2 linked regions of the Tribolium castaneum genome follow. The protein of the gene in region 1 interacts with the protein of each later gene in a pairwise test. Links are inferred from orthologs where the notes say so. Each region holds a gene or a part of one and is shown on either strand. Other genes may lie near its edges.

What was found.
Region 2: the proteins of dsh (region 1) and Abl interact in binary tests that used the Drosophila melanogaster proteins (3 or more experiments, as listed by UniProt). The link is inferred for Tribolium castaneum from reciprocal best matches to the Drosophila melanogaster genes dsh and Abl.

What each region holds. Positions count from the first base shown.
Region 1 is NC_087401.1:8,564,754-8,569,263, reverse strand, and holds the start of dsh (segment polarity protein dishevelled homolog DVL-3), read right to left. Parts: upstream 2,905-4,510; 5' UTR 2,672-2,904; coding exon 2,511-2,671; intron 2,453-2,510; coding exon 2,383-2,452; intron 2,335-2,382; coding exon 2,144-2,334; intron 2,092-2,143; coding exon 1,759-2,091; intron 1,705-1,758; coding exon 1,576-1,704; intron 1,529-1,575; coding exon 1,434-1,528; intron 1-1,433.
Region 2 is NC_087394.1:5,634,159-5,637,980, reverse strand, and holds part of Abl (tyrosine-protein kinase Abl), read right to left. Parts: intron 3,315-3,822; coding exon 3,082-3,314; intron 3,031-3,081; coding exon 2,175-3,030; intron 1-2,174. UniProt on the Drosophila melanogaster protein: Arm and Abl proteins function cooperatively at adherens junctions in both the CNS and epidermis; critical for embryonic epithelial morphogenesis regulating cell shape changes and cell migration.

The sequences.
Region 1 (4,510 bases):
CTCACTTAATAGAAAAATTACAGCTTTCCAAAAAGTCGGTATGAAAAATAATTTTTGGAGAATATCTTCCTTATTGATTATCCAATTATTAAACTTGACAATGTAAGAGACGAAAAGACGCTCTTTAATGTGATGTAAAAGACGCTCTTTAATGTGATGTACACGGAAGTTGTACATTTCCGATTGCAATGCGTCCCTTCCAGTTTTTTGACCATAACTTGATTTTTCACCCACTTCTTTTATACCAAAAATTGAAAGCCCATTCATTTTTCTTTAGAAAAGGGACACTTGTTGCATATCGCTAAAATGTACCGTTCTCGAGTTATTTGCGTTTAAAGTAAACTTTATAAAACCAAAAATTATGAATTCTGAGTGTTCCTTAGTTAAGAGTTTAGTTCTTCAATATCTAGTACACTAAGTTTAAATTAGCAAAAACAGCTACAGAAAAACAAGTCATCTCGTAAATAATTATAAAAATGTAAAAATTTTGTACCAATTTTTTTTGTGGCGAAGATATTACAGAATTTCATTTGCTCATATGTCACCACCAATTAGTAAAGTCAACTTTGGAAAAAGCGTCCTTAATTTTAGACGCTGAAGTGGAGGTTGTACTCTCTATATCTCAAAAACTAGTAGAAGTAATAAAAGTTTGGATAAAATAAGTTAATTTATTTTGACTTCCTTGAGCTTTATCAAGAAATATTTGCACAACTAGCAAATTCGCACCGTAGTTATGTTTACAAACACATGTTTTTAATTATTAAAATGTTTTTAGTTAGTAAGTCAATAATCTGTTTATCAGTTAACACTTCTCTTGCGGCTTTGTCATTATCAACCCCAACATATTCCTCAAAAGTTCGTTATAAACAGAAAATTGCGTCAGATTTTAAGTCAAATTTAGTTCGTTATAAGCGGTAAAAAATACATTGAGCTTTAAGGCATTGGCAACTTAAAAAACAACTTTGTCTTAAGTGAAGACTAAACACTTATTACAATAGTGAAAACCGTTTCTCTGTAACTGCTCTTTAACTCAAGTTATTTCGATTTAAATTAGAAATCATGATGTCGTAACCGTCTCCAGCATTTGGTCCGATATAAAGATCAAATGGTTTTTGACTTTTAGGTGACACTGTCAGAGTTTATAAAGATTTCTCAAATCTCAATTTCTCAAAAAAGTTTTTGGTGATTGGAGGGTTCAGTGTTACGTTGTGACGTCATGATTTCTTCCTTTCAAAGCGATTATCTCGCTTATTTCTCATCGCGAAAAAATTTAAATAGAACCTAAAGATATTTTCAATTTCCGTTGAAACATAAAATACGAAAAATAAGTTGCCAATGCCTTCATGGAATGATTTTTTTTGGTGCTTGAAAAATAGTACATTATAGCCGGAAGTTCGTTATAAGCAGACTCCACTGTATAGTGATTTAATTACCTGGGTCGATAGGCCTCACTGGTTCAGTTCTAGGTATAGTGAAGTAGCCTTTGGGGTTGGGATCCCAGCACTTCGCCACAACCAGCTTGATCGGTCTGAAAATTGAATAAAAAAATTGGGCTTATATTTTTCTGATACCAACCCTGGTTTTTGGACCACTTCTCGCAAAACCCTAACCGCCTCATCATTTGACATATTTTCAAAATTAACGTCATTGACTTGCAAAATCATGTCGCCTGGTTCTATTCTACCATCAAGGGCGACAGCCCCCCTATAAAAATTTACATCAAATTAATGAGACACACAAAATAAAATTGTGATGTACCCTTTCATAATGGATCCGACGTAAATGCCACCGTCGCCCCCTTTATTGCTTTGCCCCACAATTGAAATTCCTAGAAAATTAACCGTGTCCATATTCAAGGTCACTGTTATAATATTCAAGGACATTGTCGAATCTGTGATGCTGGAATATGAGGATGTTCGTGACATTGCTTGCATTCGTTGTTTTCGTCGTCTTTGCGGTCTTTTGCGCCCCGCGACATGTAACCGACTCACACTGGAGCATTCTGAGAGGGCCGTGTGTCTTCCGGTTGTCTCAGACTGAAAACTTGTGGTCTCTAAATCGGAACTGACAATTGAAGCGGTTTCGTAAACTCTAAAATTGGGATTATTTACCACAGACTTATAAATATAAGTGAAAACAGTACCGTGGAAGGTGTCCGTTAATTCGTGATGAGTATTTGTGGTGGCGCCTTCCCTGTCTCGAACTAATGATACTTTCAGTGTCGGTGCAGATTGATTCGGGGGCTTGGGGGGGCACACGTTCCGACTGGTGTGTGACACTGTCAGTGCACTGTGAGCCCCCATCCGATTGATTTGAGCCATCGGCTGAAACTAACTGTAGGGCAATTAATGCGCCCCCTTCTCTAGCGAGCTAGAAACGTACCCAACTAACAACACGTCCGTTAAAACACGGCAAATGTGCGCTGTCGTCGATGATTTCCTCTTTAACGACTCTGCAAACGAATTGTTACGTTTTAATCACCCGAAGGGTGAAACACACGAGAGAATTACCCGAAATCATCGTCCATCGACTTGAAAAAGAATTTGTAATTGGGGCGATTTAACACATTTTTAAAGTCAGATAAGGTCACTTTTTCCGGCGAAATCGGTATCTTTACTAAATAGGGGGTCTCCTCGTCGTCTATGTGATAAATAACTTTCGTTTCATCCATTATTTCACTCGATTTTCGCGAAAAACTACACAATTTGACAGGAGAAAAACACTTCAACACAACATGGCCGACATCATTAAAGTCATCCCCACCCAAGGGGATTAAAGAGATCAAGACAACGGATAAGGGGGCATTAAACCCGCAAAGACGCGGCCCCGCGAACAGCCCCCTACCGCTAGTTACAAGTTTTGGCTACGTGGTGCAAAGGGCCCGTATATTTTGCGAAAATTGGTTTGTTGTGAAAGGGTAGAGTTCTTTATTACCGGCCGATTTTTTCTTGATAGAATTGTTGTAAATTGGCGAAAATGTAACCAATTTAGGCGCATGATTGCGAAAAAGATTAATAAATTGATGAAAAACACATTTGCGTTTAAAAATTATCAATCGATGTCTTTTGAAAAGTTGTTCATCCGATATTGTCACTCTAGAGCTGTAAAGGCGGTTGCATAATCACAATATTTTAGAGCAGTATTTTACTATGTTCATTTTACATATAGATTATTTAAAATAATCAACCGTTTAATCAAAATTTCGACCAAGTTCATCTCATGATTAGTAGAGACATGGTTGCGCCGTAACTCTTTGGAGGAGTGGGAGAACCGCCACGTTGATATGTCACAAGATTACAAACGTGTTGTTTACATCGTGTTTTTTGTGGTTTTTAATAAAAAGTAACGATTGTAACCCAGTGGTGATGACTATTAGTTAATAGTGTTGTTTAGCTTGATAACAGTGCAGTGAAAAAATCAGATACACCACTAGGAGGGGAATTTCAATTTTGCAGAACCAATAATAATTTGCAGATCAGGGCTTTAAAATAACCCTTAAAAACATCCCCCAATTCCCTAGACGCTAGTCACCCCTTTTTTTAAATTTTAAATGACACTCAATTTTTGGAATAGAAAGAAAAAGCTTGTCTAACCGTAAAAAAATGTTGATTTGCATTTTGAAATTTTTAGTCATTGGGAGCCTTTGATTTTAAGCCCATTTGATTTAAACAAACAAACAATTCAATTTGACTTGCAAAGGTAGAGGTCAAAACCAACATTAAAGATGTTTATGTTTAGGCTTCATTCCCTAGTCGCTAGCCACTCCTTTGACATTTTAAATACCGCCTTCTACATTTTGAATCATTATTAGAAAAAAAAATATATTAGAAAGAAGGGAAAACTAATCTAATTGTAGAGAAAACACATAATTGTAGATTTGTTTTTGAGTTAGGGGTGGTTTTAAAAAGTGGGGGGTACAATTTAAAGTTCAAATTAACGGGATGATGTAACCTAAAACGAAGAATATGCTAGTTTTAGACTCTCGCCTTCCATGACGAATCTATATGTTCTTTATTTAAATTAAATTGGCTTAAAATCAAAGGCTACTAGGTATTACGATCAAAAATAAAATTACACCTAACTCAAAAACTTTCCATAAGCTATGTTTTAGCTAATAAATATCGAAGTCTTTTAATATGAACAAAATAGTAATTCGTATTTGGACCAAACTGGCTCCAGGGGAGAAACGGCATATTTTCGACTAAGGGTTGTATACAAACGTTTTCTCACGCAAGAACCTCCCTAAAGTGTGGCACCATATCTTTGGAATACCCTTGTATATTACAATTTCCATTGTCCGGTAATTATAATCTTCTCCAAGTCATACAAACATGCATATAAATTCATATGAATTTCAAAAGTGTAATCTCGTGACGTATTTGCGTGCCGTCTACTGATTGGCTAAAAGTTACAGCGCAAGTGACAAGTCCCGATGGGCCCATTTTCTGTCAAGGTCGTTGAAGGATGGTTTATTGCCTGGAATTAATGAAATAACCGCTTCAACAAACAG
Region 2 (3,822 bases), on another chromosome or scaffold:
TTGTTACATAAAAGAATTTCACTCATCAAGAATTATTAATAAAATAAATAAAAAATATATTTGTTATTTTTTTTGAACACTTTAAAAAATATTGTAAATTTGCTATAAAAACCATTAAAAAAAATCCATTAAAAAAATATAATTTTGGTTCACCAGCCTGTATACAACACCCTGTGTACAATAAAAATATTTTTAGTTTATGGATTTTAAGTCGATCTATAAGATAACAAAACAGAATCGCAATATTTTAAATAATAAAAAAGTTATAGACCGATTACGCACCCCTGGGTCAGCCTGTACAGTTTATTATAAGATTTATTCAAAACATCTATATTAAATCATCTCTATTAATATTTTACTAAACAAGACTGTAATTCAGTTTTCAATGTTTGAGACTAAGACGGAAATGCAGCATCTAAAAACGACTCTGAAGACTTCTGTGACCCCCATGTCCCCCCCCTTTCTACAGTAATGAAGTGTTGGACCCCATAAATTCAGTTTATTATCAGATTTTCAAGTCACAAGACATTTTCTTTTAAAGCACATTTTGTTAAACGATTGTTTCTTTCCTGCCCTATAACTAGCTTATGGTTAGTCCCACAAAAAAATGCATTTAACTATTTTGTAGGAAATTTTATCAGTTTTAATTTTGGTAAGAAGAAAAAAATTGATAGGACGAACAGTTTCCGAGATATAAGCAAAAAAAAACAAAAAAAGACTGCTTTAACCCCCTCCCCCTCGACGAGCTCGCCTCAGGGACCCAAGTGTAAAGAAAGCTTTAAAAAAAACTCCATCTCTCTAGTAATTTTTTCCACCGATTTTTCTAATTTGACTGGGCTATTAATTTTCCAAACAATATTTTAAACAAACTGTAGAAGAACTGTAAAAGACTGGGTTGAAATAAAAACCGATCCACTAATAAAAATCACTTGGCTTTCTTTTTTTTTTCTCTTTTCAAACTTTCACGATATTACAACTTTGACTCACCAAGATCGGGAAAACTCGGAGGCGGCGGCAACCGTTCCAACGGCGACCCAACCGCCGGCACATCCGAATCAATACAGAAATACAGAAAGAAATACAAATTTATGACGGACGGGACAAAAAAACTCGTGTGTGAAAATAGCTCTAAAAAATTTTTTGAGACAGGTTTTAATTATTAAAGACTTTAAATATATTAAAATTAAATAGTGGAAATTAAGAATTCTTGATTTTTTTTAAAAACGTAAGAAATAAAAACAACATATTATGTTTGCGATTACGGACGGGGAAACAAAAATTATAAAGGTAAAAAAATGATATTAAAGCCGCACTTTTAAAATTTGAAACACGAGCCAAAGAAAAAGAATACAGAAAAAAATACAGAAACACAGAAAGAAATTCAAATTTACGACGGACGGGACAAAAAAATCTTGTGTGTGAAAATAGGTCTAAAAAATTTATTGAGACAGGTTTACATTATTAAAGACTTTAAAAATATAAAAATTAAACAGTGGAAATGAAAAATTCTTGGGTTTGTTTAAAAACGTAAGAAATAAGAACAACATATTATGTTTGCGATAACGGACCGGACATCAAATATTATAAAGGTAAAAAAAGTAATATTAAAGCCACACTTTTAAAATTTGAAATACGAGCCAAAAAAAAGAATACAGAAGAAAATAATAAAGAATAAAGAAAAAAATACAGAAATACAGAAACAAATACAAATTTATGACGGACGGAACAAAAAAACTCGTGTGTGAAAATAGCTCTAAAAAAATTATTGAGACAGGTTTTAATTATTAGACTTTAAAAATATTAAAATTAGAAGTGGAAATTAAAAATTCTTAGCTTTATTTAAAAACGTAAGAAATTAGAACAACATATTATGTTTGCGATAACGGACCGGACATCAAAAATTATAAAGGTAAAAAAATAATATTAAAGCCGCACTTTTAAAATTTGAAATACTCGGGGACTCAAGTGTAAAGAAAGCTTTAAAAAAACTCCATTCTCTAGTAATTTTTTCCACCGATTTTTCTAATTTGACTGGGCTATTAATTTTCCAAACAATATTTTAAACAAACTGTAGAAGAACTGTAAAAGACTGGGTTGAAATAAAAACCGATCCACTAATAAAAATCACTTGACTTTCTTTTTTTTTCTCTTCAAACTTTCACGATATTACTCACCAAGATCGGGAAAACTCGGAGGCGGCGGCAACGGTTCCAACGGCGACCCAACCGCCGGCACATCCGAATCAATACTCATCGGACTCTTTCCATCTTGACTCGGACTCGTTAAACTAAGACTAGTTCGTTGAGGACTCTTCTCCTTCCCATCCTCCTTATTATCTTTAAAGCTATTGCAACTGTCAGTCGACGGCTCTCTCTTCTTCAAACTCACACCAAACCTCGAACTCGCCTCCTCCACCGAAGGCTGCAGCGTACAAACATCACTATTCTCATTACTCAACTCCTCACTCCTCCCGACTGTTCTCTTCGTCGTAAGCGGCGAAATCGGAATCACTTTCTTCCTCAAATCGGCCATCACGACACCATCGGGCACATCAATCGGCCCGTCGAATTCTTCAGGCGGTGGCGGCAAATCGGTGGGAGGCGGCGGAAACTCCAGGTCGGCCAACGTCGGTTGCACGGACCTGGAGGGACTGCCGCCCCGGAAAGTGTTGTTTTGAGCCGCCCGGAAAGTCCGGAGACTGCTCCGGACGTCTCCGGTGTTGTTCCGCGAGATGTTCCGGGTGCGGGATAACTTCGAGGACGTGGGGGAGCTTGGAGGATGGGTTGCGTGGAAAGTGGTGACACCTCCGGAAGAGTTGCTCCGGATCATTTGGGGTTGGGTCCGAATGTTGGTCCGTGGTGATAGAGACCTGGGGGTGGTTTCCGTCGGTTCGGGTGTGTCTTCATTGGTTGACATTCCGCTCTGTTTTAAAGATTCAAGATATGCGCCGATTCGGGCGCCTTTCGGAAGAGTGCCATAACGACTGATTGCTTTTCGCACGTTTTGGACTTCGAGAGCCGCCACTTGGACCTAAAACACAGTTAAATGATTTGGAAATTATTTCATTGGGGGCTGGCGTACAGCAGGGGTTACGTCTTTTGTCTTAGTCTTTTTCCCTCTCTGTTCCAAGCCCCTGTTGCCCATAATGGGGGCTCGTTTGAATGAACCGGTGGTGCAACCTAGGTTGCTTACGGATGAGACTTCCGGGTAGGAGTGGGCACCGGAATCGTCCGTGTCGGGGGTTTGGTCTTGGAGGTCGCTTTCGCTGTCGCCTTTTGTGCTGGCGGTTAGGTTTTGGAGTTCACGGGTTAAACCTGGATCGAAAAAAGATTGTGAATGCATCACAAGAAAATAAAATAATTGTAGAAATTGATTAATAAATGACAGTTTTGACAATGATTGAAAACAAGCCCCCTAGAAAAAGCTTCTTTGATGGATAGTTTTTAAAATAGTATAAAAAATATGAATTTTCAAAATTATTATTTCTTTTGAATTCGTGACTTCTCTTGGCTATAAATTTGTCGTTAGGATTCTCTGTAACACAGAATTATTTTCTTATATAGAAACTTTCAATTTGTGCTCAATTTCACCCGAAAAAATGCAAATGCGCTGTTCCCATTTTCTACTAAGAACTGAGATGGGCTATAATTTCATTGATTAGTGTTATCAACCTTTCAGTATTTAGCCATTCCATTTTAACGGACAATTTGCACTATTTTTAGATTTTATTTTCAGTTTTTACGAACAGTATCAGTAGAAGTGATTTTTTTTCTTTTGAGGAACTTAGTACCAGCACAGGTACCAGTCAAATTTTTTGCAATC